Linked DNA regions of Coturnix japonica. The protein of the gene in region 1 interacts with the protein of each later gene in a pairwise test. Links are inferred from orthologs where the notes say so. Each region holds a gene or a part of one and is shown on either strand. Other genes may lie near its edges.

What was found.
Region 2: the proteins of TRIM37 (region 1) and COPB1 interact in binary tests that used the Homo sapiens proteins (3 or more experiments, as listed by UniProt). The two-hybrid records come from large-scale screens. The link is inferred for Coturnix japonica from reciprocal best matches to the Homo sapiens genes TRIM37 and COPB1.
Region 3: the proteins of TRIM37 (region 1) and FAM107A interact in binary tests that used the Homo sapiens proteins (3 or more experiments, as listed by UniProt). The two-hybrid records come from large-scale screens. The link is inferred for Coturnix japonica from reciprocal best matches to the Homo sapiens genes TRIM37 and FAM107A.
Region 4: the proteins of TRIM37 (region 1) and MCM10 interact in a two-hybrid assay, tested with the Homo sapiens proteins (2 studies listed by BioGRID and IntAct). The link is inferred for Coturnix japonica from reciprocal best matches to the Homo sapiens genes TRIM37 and MCM10.

The regions. Positions count from the first base shown.
Region 1 is NC_029534.1:5,928,600-5,933,564, forward strand, and holds part of TRIM37 (E3 ubiquitin-protein ligase TRIM37), read right to left. Parts: intron 4,762-4,965; coding exon 4,561-4,761; intron 3,078-4,560; coding exon 2,766-3,077; intron 2,333-2,765; coding exon 2,207-2,332; intron 1,718-2,206; coding exon 1,537-1,717; intron 884-1,536; coding exon 765-883; intron 1-764. UniProt on the Homo sapiens protein: E3 ubiquitin-protein ligase required to prevent centriole reduplication. Probably acts by ubiquitinating positive regulators of centriole reduplication.
Region 2 is NC_029520.1:14,566,100-14,571,064, forward strand, and holds part of COPB1 (coatomer subunit beta), read right to left. Parts: intron 4,557-4,965; coding exon 4,396-4,556; intron 4,259-4,395; coding exon 4,138-4,258; intron 3,759-4,137; coding exon 3,531-3,758; intron 3,370-3,530; coding exon 3,190-3,369; intron 2,045-3,189; coding exon 1,900-2,044; intron 1,409-1,899; coding exon 1,289-1,408; intron 857-1,288; coding exon 711-856; intron 1-710. UniProt on the Homo sapiens protein: The coatomer is a cytosolic protein complex that binds to dilysine motifs and reversibly associates with Golgi non-clathrin-coated vesicles, which further mediate biosynthetic protein transport from the ER, via the Golgi up to the trans Golgi network.
Region 3 is NC_029527.1:9,364,300-9,369,159, forward strand, and holds part of FAM107A (actin-associated protein FAM107A), read right to left. Parts: intron 2,773-4,860; coding exon 2,598-2,772; intron 1,053-2,597; coding exon 896-1,052; intron 763-895; coding exon 655-762; 3' UTR 1-654. UniProt on the Homo sapiens protein: Stress-inducible actin-binding protein that plays a role in synaptic and cognitive functions by modulating actin filamentous (F-actin) dynamics. Mediates polymerization of globular actin to F-actin. Also binds to, stabilizes and bundles F-actin.
Region 4 is NC_029516.1:5,990,349-5,996,103, reverse strand, and holds the start of MCM10 (protein MCM10 homolog), read right to left. Parts: upstream 3,191-5,755; 5' UTR 3,145-3,190; coding exon 3,081-3,144; intron 2,890-3,080; exon of another isoform or gene 2,717-2,889; intron 2,520-2,716; exon of another isoform or gene 2,518-2,519; coding exon 2,467-2,517; intron 1,832-2,466; coding exon 1,511-1,831; intron 1,211-1,510; coding exon 1,106-1,210; intron 516-1,105; coding exon 381-515; intron 112-380; coding exon 1-111. UniProt on the Homo sapiens protein: Acts as a replication initiation factor that brings together the MCM2-7 helicase and the DNA polymerase alpha/primase complex in order to initiate DNA replication. Additionally, plays a role in preventing DNA damage during replication.

The DNA.
Region 1 (4,965 bases):
CTGCAAATGCCAACTCCCACACAATATTGCACACTGCAGATAGAGATGGATGCTGGCACCTTAATATAGGCTTTGTGCTACAATTCAGTCATTGAAATTCAAATTAGTGCAGGGGTGGAAGGCAGGAGAGTTTTAGCAAGATGAGAAAAAAAAACTCTTCTACGTGGACTTTCAAAAAGAATGCCAATAATACTTTTTTCCAGCATGGAAAAGATGCAGGAAGGGAGTGGGGGAAAAGTTTCCTCTGGGTCTCTAAGGAAACCAGATTATGTACCACAACACCCAGTACAGTTGGGCTGCTGAAGGAGGGATTCCAGTGCAAATGTGGAGGTAGTTACCACTGTGGTGTGTCCCTGAAAGCAGGAGACTTTAAAGCCAAGGTCACTGACCACTGGTTTAACTAGATAAGTTGTTATTTTCAAGGTCATGATAAAAACCAGCACAGCAAGAGACCATGAGGTACATTGAGAGGTAAAGAGGCAGGTCCAGAGAAGCAGAAGGCACCTTGTCACAATATCTGCTAGATCTTTACATTCATGCTGTAACGTAATATCACTATTCATGGACAGCAGTGGCAAGAGATACTCCCCTCTCATTTAGATTTATACCACAGTTGCTAAACGCTACAGCAAAGTTCAGCAGCCACGGAAACAGCTGCTGTTTTTTCCTCCTTTCCCCTTCAAGCTACTTCCATTACAGAAATAAATGATCACAGATCGGAAGCATTGTAGCACCGCATCCACCCTTCACAACATCCAGGTTACCTTCCTCTGGTCCTGCTGAAGCACCCTCAGGAAGCACACCCTGCAGCTCACCAGGTTCAGAGCCTTCATCCAAACTACCCAACTGCGTCCCCTCCGTGCGATATCCTTTAGAATTTGATCTGAAAGAATTCAGGAGACAGACAGAAATCCACATTAGGAACCTGGCTTTCATACAGCTCTGGATAAAAAACCAAACAGCTCCTTTCGGTGCCACACATCTTGTTCAACTCATCAAGTTGTATCCACTTCCAGCTCTGACTAATTTCAAAGTACTTAAGAATTTCAAAAAACCCCTCAAGGTTTAAGGTGAAAATGTATTAAAAAAGTGATTTTTTTTCCCCTGTTGTTACGTAGAATAAAATGTAAGTACTCCATTGCACTCGGCTTAGTTACACAACAGTTATTATGAAACTGCTGAGAAAGTCACAGTGAAGAATTTTCTCTGAAGAAACCTGAAGTGGAAACCTTCAGAGAGATGATATTATGGCAAGGAACAGAGGGACAGGAGACGGTGCCCACCTTGCAAATCAAAGCAGCAGACTACATCAACGGCTGATCAGAATGAAAGAGAAGAAAAGTACAACTTGTGCTCAGGTTACTGAGCCAAAAATTGATACCCATATGGAAACACAGCCACCAATTAGGCTTGGAAGTAATTCCTCTTCTGTGTTACAAGCACCTCATTTCAGCAGATTCGTATTTTTTTCCTCACAGATCAAGGGAAAGGAGAAAAGAAAGGACAAGATGAAGGAGGGAACACACAATTCCTTACCCCAGAGCACCAGCTTTTCTGGTCTTCTCCACAGCAGCATTTAAGCCAGAAGCTCCCACATCAGAATCTGACCCTTCACAAGGCCTTTCCTCTGGCTTAGGCAGTGCCTCGGAAGCATTACTGCTGACCAGGGGCCTGGGACAGTGATGGCGACTGCTTGACTTTGAACTCCCAACTCCACCTGAAAAAAGAAGGAGAAATGCTCAAAGCACAGCACACTTTAAAAAGAATAAATCCAGTCATTTTATATCACTGGTGCATTTCCAGACGTGTACAAGCACATCCTCCACTCCAACCTTATGCTTTCTAAGCATCGCACAAGATGCACGTACCGTCTGTGCATGCTCTGACCACACACACAGTCTCTGTTTCCCCATCTCATGCAGTTAAAGTTCACTTTCTAGTAACACAGACACTCTCTTCACTATTTTTCCCAGCTACAGATGCAAGATTGTTTGGCAGCAGCAAAGCAGCCACTCATGTTGTGGATGAGGCTGCACTCAGGCACAGCAGCACCCACAGCAGACCACTATCAGAGCTCTGTGCTGGTACAGCAGCATTAATTAGGCTTGCAAACAGATCGAGCAGAGTTTCAGGCAAACTTCAGTTACAACATCCACTTCTGTACAACAGATACAACACACCTCACAGTACAGAGGACCTTGCTTACCTTCACAAGTTTGCCCGTCCCCCTTTAACCGAAGATTATCCCCACAGTCCATAGCTCTTCGTAGAGACAGACTCCCTGCTGCTCCAGAGCGAATAGGTTTGGGTGAGTTACTCTTCTTACCCGCAGCTGCAAACACAGTAGAAGTATTTAACCAGATTGCCTGCAGCATTCTGTGCTCATTTTAAGGAAGTTAATGACCAATGAGACTAACATGGAGCTTAACTACCCATCGTGCACACAACTCCTCCACCCTTCCTGTCAAAAGACATAGGACAGAGAAAAGCTTAAGTAAGTTGGGAGCTTCCAGCCCCCAAGCTGGAAGGTAAGAAGGCGAACTAAAATCACCTCTGTTTCACCTCTGCTGTTTGTGACTTCTCAGATTCACTGTTCTCTGAGCTTGTGGCAGTGCTGCAGGAACTTATCTAAGTGTAGGAATGGAGGAGTGATAACTGGAACAGCAAAATACCAAGTTCTGCTGTCACCATGTTTCAATGCAAGTCATAAGATTGCTCCTATTTCACAGAGCATCCATGTCCCAACTCCCTCCGTGAGTACTTACAACTCCTTATGTAACAACTGGTCACTGAAGACTTGGTCAGCAGCTCCATTCCTATTTCTTGCAGCTTGCTGCAGCTGTCTGTTCCACAGGCAGCTAAAGCACCTTGCTCAATGGAGAAGAAGTTGGGCTGCCCATCGCATGAGCCAGCATTGCTGCTCCTTACTTCTGAGAGTTGGTTTTTTACATCAGACATTTTGCTTCGTACTTCAGCCATCTGAGTTTTAAGTCTCTTCAGCATCTTCAAGTCAGGCGGCACACGCCACATCGCCTGGTGCCTCCGCAGGTCTCGATCCTTTAAGGAGTACGATGATGCTTTACCAAAGAGAAGAGTTGAAGAACAACAGGTAAGTAAAACTGTCCTCAGATAAAAATGGACGTTATTTTTAATAGCCGTAAGAATTCTACCTTTTGCCCTGCTGTAAATACAAGGGATAAGATGCTTTCTTTCATACTCCTACAGCACTTTAATTTAGGATGCTGGTATTACACAACCAAGGGACAACAGATTTCTATCTGCCTGAGGAAGGGCATAGACCTTGCTCTTTAAAAAGAGCAGGAGCTCTGATACCATGGCATAAATTCTGATGATAGCTGAGCTCCCTTATACTGCCAGATAAGCTTGAGTTCATGAGCCCGGCTGCCAGTTAAAATGTCAAATTTGTTACGTGTTTTCTATAAAGCGTGTTAAGAGCTCGTCTAAGATTCCCATCCCACCACCACCTCACATTACCACATAAAAATCAAAGAAATCTGGAACTAGGGGAGAAATTCCCTTAAGTACATAAAATTGTGCCAAAGAGCCAATACCTGAGAAAATCTGCATGCTGCTTACACAGAAATCGATCAGCTTTGATGTCTGTTTGAAGTGCTGTAAGTTCTATAACTGTTTTATTGCAAATTCAGCTCTTCAGAGTTTTTAAAAACCTTCAACTTAAAAAGTGAGGCTCAGCAAACTCCAAATGTAACAGCAGCTTTCTCTTATTTGCATGACTTGTATAAGACTTGGGAACAGCCAAACCATACATGTACCTCAGCAGCGGGTAACTCCAGCTGCAGCCAGTAGCTTAAGATGATCAAGAACCCATTAAATACAAAAGATGAGCCTGATCTTGCCTAAGTATTACAGCCCAAAATGCAGCATCTTCTCAATTTGAGCTGTTGGTTTTCATCATTCTCCTGCTTGAGCTTATGTCTCTTTTGCCCCCCAATTGCTTTTTACAGTTTTCCAGTTCAAAGTGCCTTTCTCATATAGAAGTAGATTCCAGGATTTACCTCCTCATTCACATACTGTGCTCCCATCCCAGTACTCTCAACCACTAAACGTACAAACTGTGTGAAGCAAGAGCTGTAACTGCGTTTCTCAGCAGATAGCTGTTTTGAGTTGTTTCGTCTTCCAGTGCTAACCCCTTCTATAAGAGGGCCTTTCATTCATCTCCCACAGCGGCTTTGAAATGAACTGCATGAAATGCATCACTACAATGTTACTACACAAAACAGCCAGCCAGATCAGTCACATCCCCCAAGACAAGACAAGACAATACTCCCTGATAAACACTTCTGTTTTCAGTTGAGTCATACAGCGTTCTCATGCTGAGGTCACCCATCAAGACAAAGAACGTGTTAAGATGCAGCATACTGATGAGCACAGATGAGGATATGAAAGTTTAGCTATCAGGGAAAACAACGGCCCTTCATTCTCTTTTTCCCTGTCCACAAACCTACTTCTAACTCTGGCACTGCATTCTCAAGAGACACTTCCAGTTTGGAATGAAATTGAGATCTGATGTACAGTTACCTCTGTTCTGTAGAAGAGAGGCAGGTGGACGTGGCTGGAGGCCCCAGAGGTTCTCCATACCATTTCTGTCTTTCAGATCCAACAGGTGGATTAAAATCAAGGGATCAATATCAAGTAAACTGCTGCTAGCTGCTGAGCCCAGGGCGCTTCCTCCTCGCCTTGAAGGTCTTCCACTTGCACTGGTGTAGCCATGGCTGGTACCTAAGGAAGAGTTATGAGGAAATAGCATGCATTTAAATGACAAGAGTTGGAAAGTTCATGTAGATGAGGCATAAAAGCATTCTAAGAAGTGTAACAAATATCAGTATTATTTCATGGATTTATGTTCTGAAAGCAGTCAGATGTACTTCAATAGTCTTTAAGCAAAGTGCCACCACAGGAAAGGAAGGGAGGGGAAAAAAAAAA
Region 2 (4,965 bases), on another chromosome or scaffold:
TCTGGGGTGCATTAAAAAGAACATGGCCAGCAGGTCGAGGGAGGTGATCCTCCCCCTCTACTCTGCCCCAGTAAGGCCTCATCTGGAGTACTGTGTCCAGTTCTGGGCTCCCCAGTACAAAAAAAGACAGGGATCTCTTGGAAAGAGTTCAATGGAGGGCCACAAAGATGGTGAAGGGCCTGGAGCATCTCCCCGGTGAAGAAAGGCTAAGTGAACTGGGTCTGTTTAGCTTTGAGAAAAGAAGACTAAGAGGGGATTTGATCCAGGTCTATAAATATCTGAGGTGTGGGGGGCAAAGTGGTGAGGAGGCCAGACTCTTTTCAGCAGTGTGTGGAGACAGGACAAGGGGAAATGGACATAAGCTGGAACACAGGGAATTCTGCATGAATGTGTGCAAAAACTTCTTTACAGTGAGGGTGATGGAGCACTGGAACAGGCTGCCCAGGGGGGTTGTGGAGTCTCCTTCTCTGGAGATATTCAGGGCCCGCCTGGACACCTACCTGTGCAACCTGGTGTAGGGAACCTGCTTTGGCAGGGGGGTTGGACTGAATGATCTCTGGAGGTCCCTTCCAACCCCTACAATTCTGTGACCTGAATGTGGTTTGTATCACATGAGATAATGTTGATATAATGAGTTAGTGTGGAATAGGAAAGAGAATGACAAGTCATCCAACAAGAACCCCAAATAACATACGGAAAGTAAAACTAACTTTGTTTTCCCACTCAAATTCTGCCCACATCTGTCTGAACTCTGCATCCGTACAAGAGGCTGGCTGGATATAATCCATAATGTCAATGTGAATATCACTGAGAACCACGCAGTTTCTGTCGCTGGCAGCTCCAGAGACATCATACACTGCAATAAGAAATACAAACCACATGAATGCTTAGAAAAGGGACTGTAATAAGTAAGAGTATCCAGTTACCATTTGTCAGCTAACAGCTCAGCCCTGTGTTGATCTCTACCCTTTTCACGTTCTTTTCCCAAGTTGCCACAAAACTCTGAGACAGGTGTATTGGTTTTTCAGGCAATACTGCCTAAGGTCATTTACAGTTCAGAGACTTGGGTTCAATTATCAGGCTGACAACCACTCTGAAGGTAGTGTGCTCCACCAGGATTTTTAATTAAAACACAAATTTTCAGAAAGATCATCATTAAATATTCCTACATTGCAAATAATTTCATTTCCTTTTCCAGTATAAAGTGTATTACTTATTAATTCCTGAGCCCTCTGAGCAGTTAAGAAATACCCCTCACAGTAATCTGCACACACGGCTGTCTACTTACCGATATTGCCAAAAATGATTCCATTTTCTGTTGAGGCAACTTTGACGTTAGCTTTAATGTTTGCAAAGTCATGTGGAGCAAGAGTCAAAGGAGATGGTTTTTCTACAAGCTTCAAGTCACCTGTTTAAATAAATTTGGGAAAGGGCATCAGAGAATGTTACCACTACAAAACAGTTCCACTTTTGGAACATTTACTGCCTTGTGATTCAATTACAGTGCCTACACAGCTGCACTGCATTACTTCGTTAATTTTACATTAAAAACTTCAGTTAAAATACTAGTGTACTCACCCAAAGGATACAGAAAACAAATTGAAACAGTGACTTAAATGGGCTTCAGATTGAGTTTGGTATTAATTTTAACAAGCACAAAACTGTCACTTCTGCCTTGCATTTTAATCACTGCCAACATCATAACACCTAACACTACTGTTCTGTGCCTTAAAAACAAAGTTCAATGTCCGTATTGCATGTACTGAGCTATCTAAGAACAGGTCAAAGTACCATCTTGATTCTGAATCTTATTGCTATTTTCCCTACTCCACTAGGAAGAAATTGTAAGGGACTTCCTAGTTCTATCAATCAGTGCCAGGGCCCAGCAGTTCTCCTTACCCAGTGTGGCCAGCTCCAGTGTGCAGTTCTGCAGCGTATCACTGGTCTGGTTTACCACAAGCACATCCAGCACAATGTCATACTGGTTGACGTGGACATAGGCTTCTGCGTAAACAGGGTCTGAGAAACCCGTCAGCTGTGTAACCTGCAAAGGAAAAGAATTTAAGGTATTTTTCTCATAAGCCATTTCTAATAGGAAATCACAACAAACAATGCCAAAACAATAAACTAGAATTGAATTAACTGCCCTTTGATATGAGCCCTCAAATCAGAGAGAAAAGGTGTGTGAGGAAGCTTAAACTTCACATAACTACCTTCTCAGAAAGAGAAAAAACTAAACACTTCAGCCAAATAACACAAACTTAGTCTAGGAAATATTTAAGCGACATTCTGGAAAACCAAAGTCCATACTTCTTGCATAAGCTTTCCAAAACCAACAAGTTCTGATGACTTATAGCTAAATCGCAGTGATCCTCCGTATTATGTACACAAATGCATTTTTAAACCCATCCTTTGTTCAGCTGTCCCTCTGCACACATACTACAATTTATAAAACCTTTACAGACAGAACATTTTCTGAACTTAATTTATCTAAGATCCCAAAACATTAAATAAAATGCTGCATTATTCTTAAAAAGATTCAAATGAAAAATAGTGACTTCAAATTGAAAGGTAACTTTAAACACTAACAAGAACGTATGCAGACTTTAAGAATAAGAGTCTGTTTTCATAACTGAAGTTCAAGAAGTGTTTGGACGACACCCTCAGAGACAGGGTTTGATTTTGAGGTGCTTCTCTGCAGAGCCAGAGGTTTGGCTCAATGATCTTCATGGGTCCCTTCCAACTTGGTACATTCTGTGGTTTTATGAACCTCTTGGAATGTTCTCTGCTAGTTTTAATAACAAGCAGAAAAAAAAAAGACAAATTGAAATAAGATGCACTACACTTGTCAACAGGATATGGCAGAAAAGGTCCTTCACTTGTGACATCCCTGCTCTTCTCATAGCGAACTTTATTGAGCTCTTCAAAGCACCATACAATTTCAATTCCTTTTCTGCATGCCACCAGCTTAGCACCCTCAGTCTCCATACCACTCTTCTTTCCTCACGATAAGGGAATAATAAAGCACAGTAAAGGTTTTTCTCTCTTTCTTTTCCCCATCAACAAACATATGGGTCTTATTAATCAACCAGCATAGCCTGATTCATTAGTTCCAGTATGCATCTCCCATCGTTGATTCAGCACATAAGCAGAATGAAGAGTATATAACTAAGAGACTGATTACCTTACCTTATTAAGTTTGGATGCAAGAGGATCAGCAGCTTCTTTTCTCTGCGTGTTTCCCATTGCTGCAAGAAGGCTGAGCTGAAACTGGTCTTCTTTTGAGCTCATTTCATTTTTAGCAGTAAGCTGCATGAAGGAAATGGGATCATCCGGCTGGACCGTCACGTTCCTTTTCTCTGACTCTTTCTGCAGAAAAAAAATATCACAGTTAATTCTCTCACTTAGAACAGAACACATAATGACTGAATCAGACATAGTCAAACAGAGACATTTCTAGGACCTGCTTGGATGTGAACAACACTAAAAGAACTCCAAGGGTTTATGACTACACATTCATAATATCTCACCTTCTGGGAAAGCTTCTCTTCTTCCAGCTTGGCTGACAGCATATGAGAGAGGGACTGCCTGCATTCTTTGTTGAAAATATCATTCATGAGTGGAGAACATTCTGACAAAACTTTCAGACACAGGGAAATACGATCCACATCGTCATCTGTAATGGGCTTCTTGGGAAGAGAAGACTTTCCCAAATGGAGAATAGTGGCCATCACCAGCATAGCTTCAGCAATAAAGGACTGAGAAGGAAGACAAAAGAAACTGAATGAAAGGACGTTACTGCATTTTTAAAAAGCCTCAAAGAAATGCCTATTACTGGGGCAAATTCATCAAATTCATAGAAACCTCTGGACATTTTATTTTAAGTCAAGAAACAAAGCACCAAGAATTCAGAGTGTTCTGATTCAGTGGCTGAAAAGCAGCAAGCCCTATTTGTGACCCAAGTTATTATTAAACAGCCCTGTAACTGGCATTTGGCTCAGGACTCAATCCATTTTATATCTGCTTAAAAACCCACTGAACAAAAAGAAAAAAGCAAACTCCACTAACAGACAAAAACACCCAGCCCACCAACCAGCTCTTCTTCACAACTACAGTGAAAGCACAGAGATGACTTACGTTTTGCTTCTTCTTTTCCTGAACTAGTGACACGTATCGTAAAGCAATCTTTGTTAAAGTGGTAGCAAGGGAAGCAGCGACAAAGAAATCCCCATCAAGCAGGAATCCTCGCAACGGAGGCCTAAAAGGACAGACAGTCATCAGAAACCTAGTTCAGAAGATACTTCAAAAACACTACATTGACCACTCAACTCTCCATGACAGAGAACGTCACTTAAAAAAAAACTTTTACTAGGTCTAGTATGAAATCTTAAATACCTGTCCTCCTCCTTTTTGGTGGGCCGGGAACTACTCAGAGCACTCTGGGTTGCATAAGTACCCATCTCTGTCACCAGTTTCTGGACTGGGCCCACGGTCACCTCTTCTTCAGGTTTTAGCTCACCAGCTTCCTTCTTGATTTCAGATTCTACAATTGGGATCTAAACACAAACACATAGATGTTCAGGTACATAGAGAAACCTCCTACAGCTGTGCATAAAGCTCATGACACTGCATACAGTGCTTGCAGAGCTCCCAAGACTTAAAGCACTCTTCATTTTTAGTGCATATAGCTATGGTACTCATATGTTCAAGTTGACACAGTGTTCTGAAACAAGCAATTTTTCACCCACTCTCCTAAATCTGAAGCATTCTAATATTTATTCTCAATACATGCCAGTTTCTACTTAAAAATAATTCAATACTGAATGCAAAATCTACTTTTTGCTTTTGGCTTCTTGCACACACAACATTACAACCGTTCAAAACTCTGTATTGCATTTTAATTGTTTTAAATCCTTTCTTTAGTACAATGTATGTAGTGAGATAAACCACAAAAAGTTAGAATAA
Region 3 (4,860 bases), on another chromosome or scaffold:
CATGGAACAGAGCAAACAGCTCAACAGCTATTTACAAGCAGGTCTGAAATGCAGCTTAAAGATGCTCGTGAAGAATACGTGGCACCTGGCCTTCCAATGCTGAGCTGGTGTGGGCACTCAGGAGTTGATTTTTCTCATAGTGTGATAGCATTGTTTGTCTTGTGCGGTTCTGCAGTGCCAGTAACCCTTGGGCTGTTCCCAGTGATACGCAGATTGTCCTTTTAGTCACCACGCTGATTTGCCAGGAGATTTCTGGAGCTGCAGCCACTCCCCTGCTGCCCTGCTTGGTGAGCCCACCTCCAGGGGATGCGGGTTCCCCAGCCCATGGCAATGACCATCCCTCTGCTGACTGCCCTGGCTCACACCTTGGCCACATCATGAGGGTTAACCAGGAGTTAGCTGGATGTTAGTGTGCTCCCACAACTGGGGAGGAAAGGGACATTGCTTCGCTCTGCACCACCTCGTGTGAGGGCCTCTTCAGTAAATACTGCACCTTTTTGATCATGAGACCTTCCTGGGATGGGAAAACCTTTTTTGTGCCATCTACTGGAGCAAGTGTTAATGACATGAGTAGCCCCAAAGATGTGGCTGTGAGTGTCCAGCATGTACAGAGACATCAGCCTTGGTAGGATCCCCGCTGGGTTTTGGCAGAAGCTACACTGCTTTTTCTTCCCCAGTCACCGTTGATGTTCTTCTCAGATTTTCTTTGACTTTAATGAATTCTGGTGCATGGTCTTCCTGCTTCTCCTGCTCTTTCTCCAGCTGTAATAAAGAAAAGTCATTGTTATCTGTACATTCTAAAGAACAAAAGTGCATTATGTACCTTAAAACCCCTCAGCCACCCATCTCCAGGGTAGTTAGAACAACATGGGGGTGGCTGACAGCCTGATCCTACCTGATCCAGCCGCTGGTGCCTCTTCAGTAGCTCTTTTTCAAAGGGAGACTGCAACTTCTTGGCCTCTTCCTCTTCCTTCTTCTGCCTGAGGACCTGGTTTCGCCGTCGGTGTTCAAGCACCCTCTGCAACTCTGGCTTGCTGTCTACACTCAAGCCTCTGTGGACCAAAAGCAGTCAAATGAAGAGTTGCTCATTCACCTTCCCCCTGCCTGCCTGGCAGCCCCCAGAGCCTCCATCCCAAATGCTGCCACACTGATGTACTGTGCCTTTCTGTGCAGAAAGGGAAATGTGCTGTCCTACAGTGACAGCTCAAGCGGCACTGAGGGAGTTTATAATAATGAAGATTTTTTTCCACCAGCAGGGGTAGTCATTGAACTGCAGTAATTGTCCTGGCAGTTCGGCTTGCTCCAGAGCTGAGGGCTTGCGATCCCTGCTGTGCCTCAGTTTAAGCACTAATGTTTATCTCCTGCAGCTGACCCCAGCCACCTGCCTATCCTCTTCTACCCCCTAAATACATGTATGTGGCTGTGCACGTCAACAAACCTTTGCTGACTTCTGGGCAGACATCATTGCAGCCACAGTTTTGTGTTGCTGAACAAGTTATGAAGCAGAGATCAAGGCAGCTTTCAAATAGGTTACCTTCTAATAGCAATTGGAACTTAAGTAATTTTGGAAGAAGTCACAGAAGTAGTTGGCTGAAGTCATGTTTTTGAGGAGCTGAAGGTCGCATAGCTGCCACCAGAGCCTGACCTCACCTGCTGGGGGTTGAACATTCACTGCAGTCAGCAGGCTGAGGGTATTGGAAATCCCAGGGAAATATTTGGAGGAGAGGTGTTGTAACATGAGTGTTTCTGTGGCAGACAGGCCCTGGGCTTGACAGAAGGTAAAGCCTGCTGTGGCTTGCTGGAGACACAGAGTTTGCAGTGTTGCCTTTGAATTTGTTACTGCTCCTGGATTTAATCAGCCTGCCTTGTTAGTGCCCAGAGGTGTTGACTAAGATAAAGTTTTCTTGCACAAGCTGCTGATGTGAATTGCTTCCTGCTTCTGCCTAAGGGAGAAGGCAGAAATGGAAGCAAGCACAGATCCTCCTCCCTCCTCCCTTCAGTATGAACATGCAGCAAACAGCAAAGCTGCCGGATTTGCTGGTGACTTAGGGTTGCATACAGATGCTGTTCCTCCTTTCCTCTGGGAGCACTGTACCAACTTGCTGGCTGCCCTAAACCTGCTCAGGAGATGATAGCATTGATTGTGCCAGGAGATCCTGGCCAGTGAGGCTTTAACCAGGCCGTGTCAGAGTGTTTTAGGAATATCTGCCTGGTTCAGATGATTGCGTCAGTGCTGGAGACTGGCCTGGGCACAGTCCTTGTAATTCTCCTGCTTCTGGGCAGTGCCAGTACTGAGCAATGAACCCTGCTGGCAGGGTTGTTGTTGGCTGAATTAACCCTTGTGCCTGACCCTCACGATGAGCACAGTTGTTTTGAGCAGAGGCTCTGCTCCTTTTTGATTAGAGATCAAAGTGTGGCCGTGTCAAAGTGTTTTTTTAAGGCATTTTGAAAATGTTTGAAAATAATCTGTTGCATCAGAGAAGAGTGGTGGGTTGTACCCCATGTCTGTGTGCAAGTGGCAGGGTTTATCCCTCCCTCCAACCACAGCTGGTGGTGGTGCTGGTGCCGGGCTCCACACTGCTGTGACCTCTCCTCACCTCTTGTGGTTCATCAGCAGCTCTCGGTGCAGCTCCTGGTGGCTCTTGGAGGCTTTGACGGGGTTGAGGAGCTTTTTAGGTTTGATCAAGTCTGGGTTCCCATCTATGTAGTCCGGCTGACTCAGGATGCTCCTGCTGTCACAGTGCTCCTGCTGTATTTCTGTGTACATTGATGCTGGAAGACAAGAGAGGAGTTGGTGGGTGGGGTGCACCAGAGGAAGCCCACCTGTGCTCTGCTCCCTGGGTGAGAGCAGTTGCTTGGTGCACCTTTAGAAAATATTCCTTTTGGAGAGACACGTATTAATTAGATCACTTCTGAGTGACTTGCCAGCCACTTGCTTCAGTGGCTGCAGCGGTTGGTGCCAAGGACTAATTAACATTAGTTAGATGAGCCATTGCTAACAGCAGGAGCAGGGCTGGAGCTGCAGGACTTGGGGGTCCTGGGAAGTGCTGCTGTGGCTGACACCTCTCATCAGCATTAGGTTTTGCTGATGTTCTGCTGCCCTAAAAGTCAGGATTCATCCCAATACTGAGGAAAGCATAATTCACACTTGCAGCCCAGGATCACGCTGTAATAATTTGTGTGTTCTGCATGTAAGAACAAGGGCCCACTCTTTTCTAAGCCGTGGTGTGTTGGATTTCAGGCAGACTGCAGGGCAGGCTCAATGCTGCCATTCCCAAGTGCTCTACATCTCACCTTTGCAAAAAACCCCACACAAAAGGAGTGCAAAGCACGGATTTTAAGACAAGACTGCATGCTGTGGGCTGCACTTTAAGTGCAGAGTGCAGTTGTGCTGGCTGCAATTATGCCAGGGCATGGCCTCATCAGGGACTGGGAAGAGCCATTCATTCCTAAGGACTCACTCAATGAATTTGGGAGTTCAGTGGCAAGAACAAAAAGTACCAAAAAAAGTGTGTAGGCAGCTCCAAGTGCTCTGTTATTACAGTATTTTGGGGTACCTAATGGGAAGGCTTGCGGGTTGATGGAGCAGCAAGGAAAACAGCTTTTGTTCAGTAATGCTGTCTCCCTCTCTTATCGCAGTCTCATGTACAAAAGGAATAAAATCCTTTTAAAAGAGAAATCAATAAAATGAAAAGGAAAAAAAAAAAGCAAGTGAAAGCAGGCGAGGTCATTCTTTCTTAGGCAGTAAGTACTGTGCGAATGTAAAGTGGATTGCAATCAAACAGAATTGTGTAAGAAATCATACTGCTGAAGAAATGATTCAGTATCAAACAACTTCTCATTGAATGTTAATGTGGGCAGTGCCCTGCTGCTCTGGGAACAAAGGAAAACAGATTGGAGCCCGTTAAGAGTGTAATTGGGGTGAATAGTTCGGTACATATTCAAAGGGCGTGGGGAAGCTGGAAGCAGAGGCTTCCTGTACCAGGTTGTTTTCTTCCAGGGTGGCAGGTGCTGTTGGTGGGTGAAGGAGCTGATAGCTGAAGCTGTGCCTTGCCCTGCCAGTGGGGAGCGTGGGGGTGAAGGCAGCATGGTTTGATGGCTGATTGCTGCTCAATGAAAGCTGGCTTTGGAACATTGGAAAGTGAATCAGATGTTCACTGGGGTAACACTGCTGGAGTCCCTAATTCTACTTTGTCCCTTTTCTGGGGGTCTTGTTTTCTGTGGGGAGAGAGGTGAGCAAAAGGCAAGAAAAGAAGGTTCAAAAGCAAAGGGTTGTTTTGGTGTCAGTGAAATGGGTGAGCTCCCCTTTCCCTTGGCAAAGCAGTAGCTTTATTCTGCAAACAAAACAAAGAACTTCAAAGAGTGCTGGGTGTTTTCAATGGGAGCACTGCTGGCTGGCTGTGCTACAGGAGGTGATCTGGGAAGGAACCACAAACCTCTCGACAGGAACCCCACTTTAAATCTTCACAAGATGTTCGTGTGGAGCAATTCAAGGAATGTCTGCATTTGCATTGAGGGTAAAAAGAAAAATGAGGCCCGGAGCACTGCTTGGGGTTATGCTGGGAGTAAGGACGGGGCATCCTTTCTGCTACAGGCTGGCAGAGAGGGACCCTGGGCAAAGTGCTTCTCTCGCAGTAGATCTGTCATCTTCAAGACACAGTCTAATTCATGCCCATGTATAGGGAGACAGACTGCTATCAGGCTGCATTTTGTCATTATTTATAGTGCCGGCAGTGTAAATCAGGGCAGGTCTCTGCGGAGGATTTACAGCAGGATGTCTGGTTTTGCATGATTCGACCATAGATCAATGAACAAACGTCAGCTCCGGCACCTCCTGGGCCACCGCCATAAATCAGCCAT
Region 4 (5,755 bases), on another chromosome or scaffold:
ACACGTGAGGAGTCTTCTCTCTGGGCACCTTATTGGGTGTGTTCCCCGGGGCAGATGTGAGGGGCTGAAATGCCAGACTGAGGACTTGTCGTGGTGGAGGAGTCTTGGTCTCTTTAGCAGGAAATAAAATAAAATAAAATCTTGATAAAGAAAACCTATAACTCAACATAACATTCACTTACACTTGACTGGACACAGGGGTCCAGCACAAGCGAGGAATAAAATGTCTATAACTGTCTTAATATTGTACTGATCTCAAAGTCAGCTCAGAACTGGTTAATATAAATACTGCCCTGGATGTGTCCATGCTGCTGCTGTGAACTATGTAGGCTTTCAGCAAAGCCCAGTGTGTCTCAGTGAAGGCTCACTAAGAACCATACCTGCTGGGGAGGCTTTTGATTTCTGGTTTCCTTTCTTGGCTGCTGGTAAAGGATTGTCCAGCTGGGCTGAGAAACACGGTGACTCCTGCAGCTTCTGAGCTTTCCTTTCCTTTAAGGGTGGACAGAGAGATTTACCTAGCCAGGAAAACAAAAGCACTTATGAGATCTCAGGATCCAGTCTCACATACTAAACATTACTCCAAACTGAGTAATTGTTCAAATAAATCCAAGTCAGGGTCCCACATGGAAACTCTTAATTGCCAGCATGTGACATGCAACATCTGGGAAAGCCCCAATGATTCTTACTCCTTCTGACCTTAAACTCTTGATGTCACTGAAGCCAGAAAGCTGTAGAAAGTAGGAACATGTCTTTGCTTTTCAGTTTCCCTGTTTCATTATTACTACACTAAATGTGCATCAGCAACGAACACGGCTGTATTTTCTGGGTGTAGCAACATTTGAGTGCACCAGCATCTGCTACTAAGAAAGAACCTTTTCCAGCAGAACACTGGAGCACCACAGTCATAGAAGTTGCCCCATTTCAATCAATCCATGATGCCAATAACAAAACCATTTAGTCTGTACTGAAAGAAACAACCTGTACAGGAATATAACAGACCATCATTCCTTTTTGCTACTCAGTTCCCACTTCAGATTATCATCTGCCTATAATTTACACATTGGGAAGTTAACAAATCAGAAACTCATTTAATTAGTCTTGTTACCAGAGGCTTTCTGCCCAGGGCCTGAACTGGACTGCTGCCCAATGGCCGTCTTCTGCAGCTGCTCCTGCAACATCTTCATCTGCTCTTGTAGTTTTCTCAGCTCAGCTAAGAAAGAAGAAAAAGGACAATAATGAGGACAGCAGTAAAAGCCACAGTAAACAGGGATTAACAAAATCCTGGGGAGCCTGGCAGTATTACTACATCACAGATTAGGAACAAAAAGACTAGAGCTACAGGATAGATTTAGCTCTGATTCTACATGGCTCACAGGGAAGGGACAGCTTTCCATGCAGCCTAGAGCTGACTTATATCAATATTTAACTTTTTTGTGCTATATTCCTTGACATGTTGCGTGTATCTTCTCTAGTGAACACAAGACCATTTAAAAGATGCTGTAATAGAAACCTTGTAATTCTTCATTGGTTTTCTCTTCCCCCTGATTGGGAACTGAAGCTGTGACAGTGTTTTCTGCCTCCTCTTCTTCCAGCAGGTCATCCACATCTCCAAACAGCTCAGCCAGGTTCTCCTTCTCCTCATCAATTATGCTGTTGTCAGCGTCCACCTCCTCAGTGTATGATGCATCATCTTCTGCATCAAAGAGCTCATCATACTCATCTGGTTCTCCCTTCTCAGTCTTCGAGGTATCTTCCTCCTCAGGAGAATTCCCCTCTTCAGCTCCCTCATTTTCCGCCAGGAGGGAGACCAACAGATCCAAATCTTCATCACCTGAAGTAGAAATTAAACTCGGTTTTACTTCTATCCTTTTAGAGGAAAGCTGCTACAGAATCAAACATTCAAGTCACTGTCTTGAATACGCTTTTTGCTCAAGAAAGTGAACAGAGCAGCAGAGAAACATGAAGCAAAAGGTCAAAAAGCTTGAAGAGAGTAGATGTAGGTTGGATTTTTTCCTTGTCTTTTACAGTGAGGGTGGTGTGGCACTGGAACAAGCTGCCCAGAGATGTATTAGATGCCCCATCCCTGAAGACTTTCAAGACAAGGATGGATCAGGCCCTGGGCAACCTGATCAAGCTGTGCATATCCCTGTTCATTGCAGGGGAGTTGGATTAAATGACCTTTAAAGGTCCCTTCCAACTGAAAAGATTTGATGATTCTAAAAACAGGGAGAGGAACAGGACAGACAGAGCGGAGATACATACATAGAGCAACATGAGAAAGGTATTCAGCCTTTGGCCCTGAGGAAGACTCAAATGCAGCCTCACAAGAGGATGAGGGTGATGAAGGCAACAGACACAGCCAAAGGGAGCACAATATGATTTCCTTTGTTAAGAGGCTAATGGAGCTCTCTGCACTTGGTCAGAAAGCTTCCCTACTGAAAGTAGGGCAGTGCTTTTATCCCTTACCATCCATGATCTCACCACGATTCCTTCCACAGCCCCCCGAGGCAAAACAGACTCTGTCACAGAACAAATGGATACCATTGGAATGGAGATCACCTACAAACGGAGGCCAGCACCCTCAGTAGATCACTACACTCTCCATCCACAGCTGCCCACAAGAACTTTAATCCACAAACCTATTCCCACACGCGCAGCCTGCCTTGATCAGAGCCAAATGCAGCACAAGGGCACAACATGGAGAATAAATCCTCACCACAGGCCGATCCCAGCCCCCCATCCTGGGATCCCTCCTTCCTTCTTCCACCAAAGGATTCCCTCTTCATTCAGCCCGATCTCCACATTCAAGGGATCCTCTCCATTCGTACCCGCGATCCCATTAACCTCCTTCCCTTTCAACCCTGATCCCTCTAAGGCTCGGCCGCTCTCCCCTCACACACGGCCCCCATCTCCCCTCACAGAAAGCCCGACTCTCCCCTCACAGAAAGCCCGACTCTCCTCACAGCCCCGCTCTCCTCACACACACGGCCCCGATCTCCCCTCACACACGGCCCCCATCTCCCCTCACACACGGCCCCCATCTCCCCTCACACACAGACCCGCTCTCCTCACAGTCCCACTCACCGCCTCCCGCCTTCCAAGCACCCGCCAAAACTCCAACCCCGCTCCGCCCTCCTCGCTCATGCGCGCCGTCACGTCGCTCGTTGCGTCGGCGCCATCTTTAGTGCTGGAGGCGCGGGCGCCATCTTGGCTGCGGGTTGTTTCTCCACAGTGATGCTGTGGAGACTGAGAGCCCTGATGGTAGGCGAGCGTTCTGTTTTAGTCTCTTTCAATTGTTAATTTCCCCTTGTAATGTGAATTAAATCACCTCAAATTGCTCCTAGGAGGGTGAGCTCACGTCATGAATTTGCAGTATTAGATTTTATCTTTCTATGAAGACCTACCTCAGCTCACACCCATGTCTTCCTGTTGGTATTCCTGTGCTCAGATCCTTCTCTGACTGAAGCCTCTTAAAATGATTAAGTTTGGCTTGACAGATGTATAAGTAATTCCTCCTTTGGCCTTTCACATCGATTTTCTATGTTTCCATTAAGGTTAATGCTACTCAGATGAAATCAGCTCTATTGTCATTCTATTAGTTTGATTTTGGCCTAGTAGCATTTCCATCAGTTTTTTGATCATTGCGGAATCTATAACTATTGCAGAGCTCCCGTAATAAAACTGGATGCAAGGGGAAAAAAAGCCCATAAATCCTGCTGTCGTGAGGAACTAATTAAAAGTCAATAAGAGATTGCATCTTCTGGGAGTGCTTGTAATTGATGAAGAAGGGTGCAACCAAGCCAACAAATATCTCCTCACAATAGATTTCAGGCAGCTCTTCCATTAGCTGAAATTATGGATGAAGCTGTGTGGGAGCGTGAGCTATAGCTAACAGAAAGCAGGCATTCAGCTTACAGCAGATAATTAGAACAATAGTGACAACTGCAACAATAAAGACAAATCTTTGCTTTAATTATTAGGGCAATAAAGAGATGTTTTTTTCTTGCTACTGGTAGCTGAGAGTTCACTGACAGCACGGCATGAGAAATGCTTGCCTTCACACACTAAAATAGAGTGAAGGAATATTTTCTTTGCCCCAAGGAACACCTACAGATGTGTTGTTTTTTTGTGTGTGTATTTTAAGAATATTAATCTGCTCGGAGTGAAATATAAATCTCACAGTATTTAGAGCTTTATTTGGAATGAATCAGCTCAGGACTATTTTCATTGTCAGGTCTGAAGCAAAATACCCAGTCGGTGAATTTTTTATTTCTAATTCCACTATTGATCTGTTCAGCGTTTTCTTCTCCTCCATCATCCGCAGGACAATTTAGAGAAGTGCTTATTTATTGAAGCAGGTTGACAGGGGAATTTGTCATGTAGCAGTACAGAATATCTGCTGTAACAGTGCACATTCAGTTGTGGTATCCAGCATCCCTAAGGCTTTCTCCTATAGAGTTGTTCCATTCTTCTTAGCTCAAGATCGCAAGATGACATAAGCTATATATATTACTTTTACTGCACATGCATCTCCATGTGTCATCCTTTTAACTTTGGTCTGAACTTCAGAGTAACAGAAATGTATTGAAGTGTCAAGTGTTCACTTATAAAACATTTCTCCTCCCATATCTGAAAAGCTGTGTTAGGTGTTGCTGATAGCAGTGGACTTCACCACACAGCCTGACATCTTTACCTTAAGAGTACCCTGCATTACCTTCCCTTGCAGCTGTCTGAAACCGAGGCTTGGTGGAGTTTTCTATGAACCCTGTTGTGTTGTGCCATCCCCAAACCAGAGCTCCTCTCTCTTCTGAGATAGCTCAGCTTCCATGACAAACACCATTGCTTACTGCAGTTGTATCATAAGCTGATCATGCTTGTTTATATCTTGTTAAGAGTTGTGTATTTTCCTCCCTTGTGTAACAGCATGCCAAGAACTGTTATCTGTTGAGATCCAAAGTGAGGACAAGAACAGAACTAATGCACTATGATTCTTTCTACACAAGCTTTCCAGTCACAGGTATTAGCAACCCCCTTTCAGCATCCAAAATATTAAGAGGCATTGATAATTTTCTAATTGTAATAGATTTATTTTGAGATTTGAAAATCCATGATACTCCTCTCTTTAAATTAGGTTACATCCACTTCAGCTTTCTCTGACACGATACTGTACAGCTTCAAATACATTTATTACAACGAAGAAGAATCGAGACAACACCTTAGAAATAAACAGTTTTATAAAACCCAGTGACTTGGGTACACCAGGAGCTACATACACCAGACCTCAGTGATCTGCCTTAGACCTTATCTACGTCCAGCTAAAGCAAGAAGTTACGTAAGCCATCAAAAATATAACATCAGATTAGTATGGTCACAAGGGCAGCAACAAAACTGCCATCTGGAGAAAGAGGTGGGTTCATTTTAAATGCTCAACAAATACGACACACTCCATTTTACTGGAAGCTTCCCAAACAGCTGTTTCATATATTCCTGATTAATAGTATATATGAGAGACGAAGTATTTACAGGCTTACAGTAGTTGATGGGCATACATCTCATCTCCTTTTTAACTACAGCAATGCAGCCCAGTGCTGTGGGGTAGCTGTAAGAGCAGAGCACATCAGGGGAACGTTCCTTCAAGATTTCATTGCAGCAGATACACAGGGAGTTCCTTAACGCATCCATGTTGTTAACCTGGAAGAATTTGTTTTCTAACTTATGATAAAACAAGTCCAGTGAGTACAGGGTAGGGTAGGAG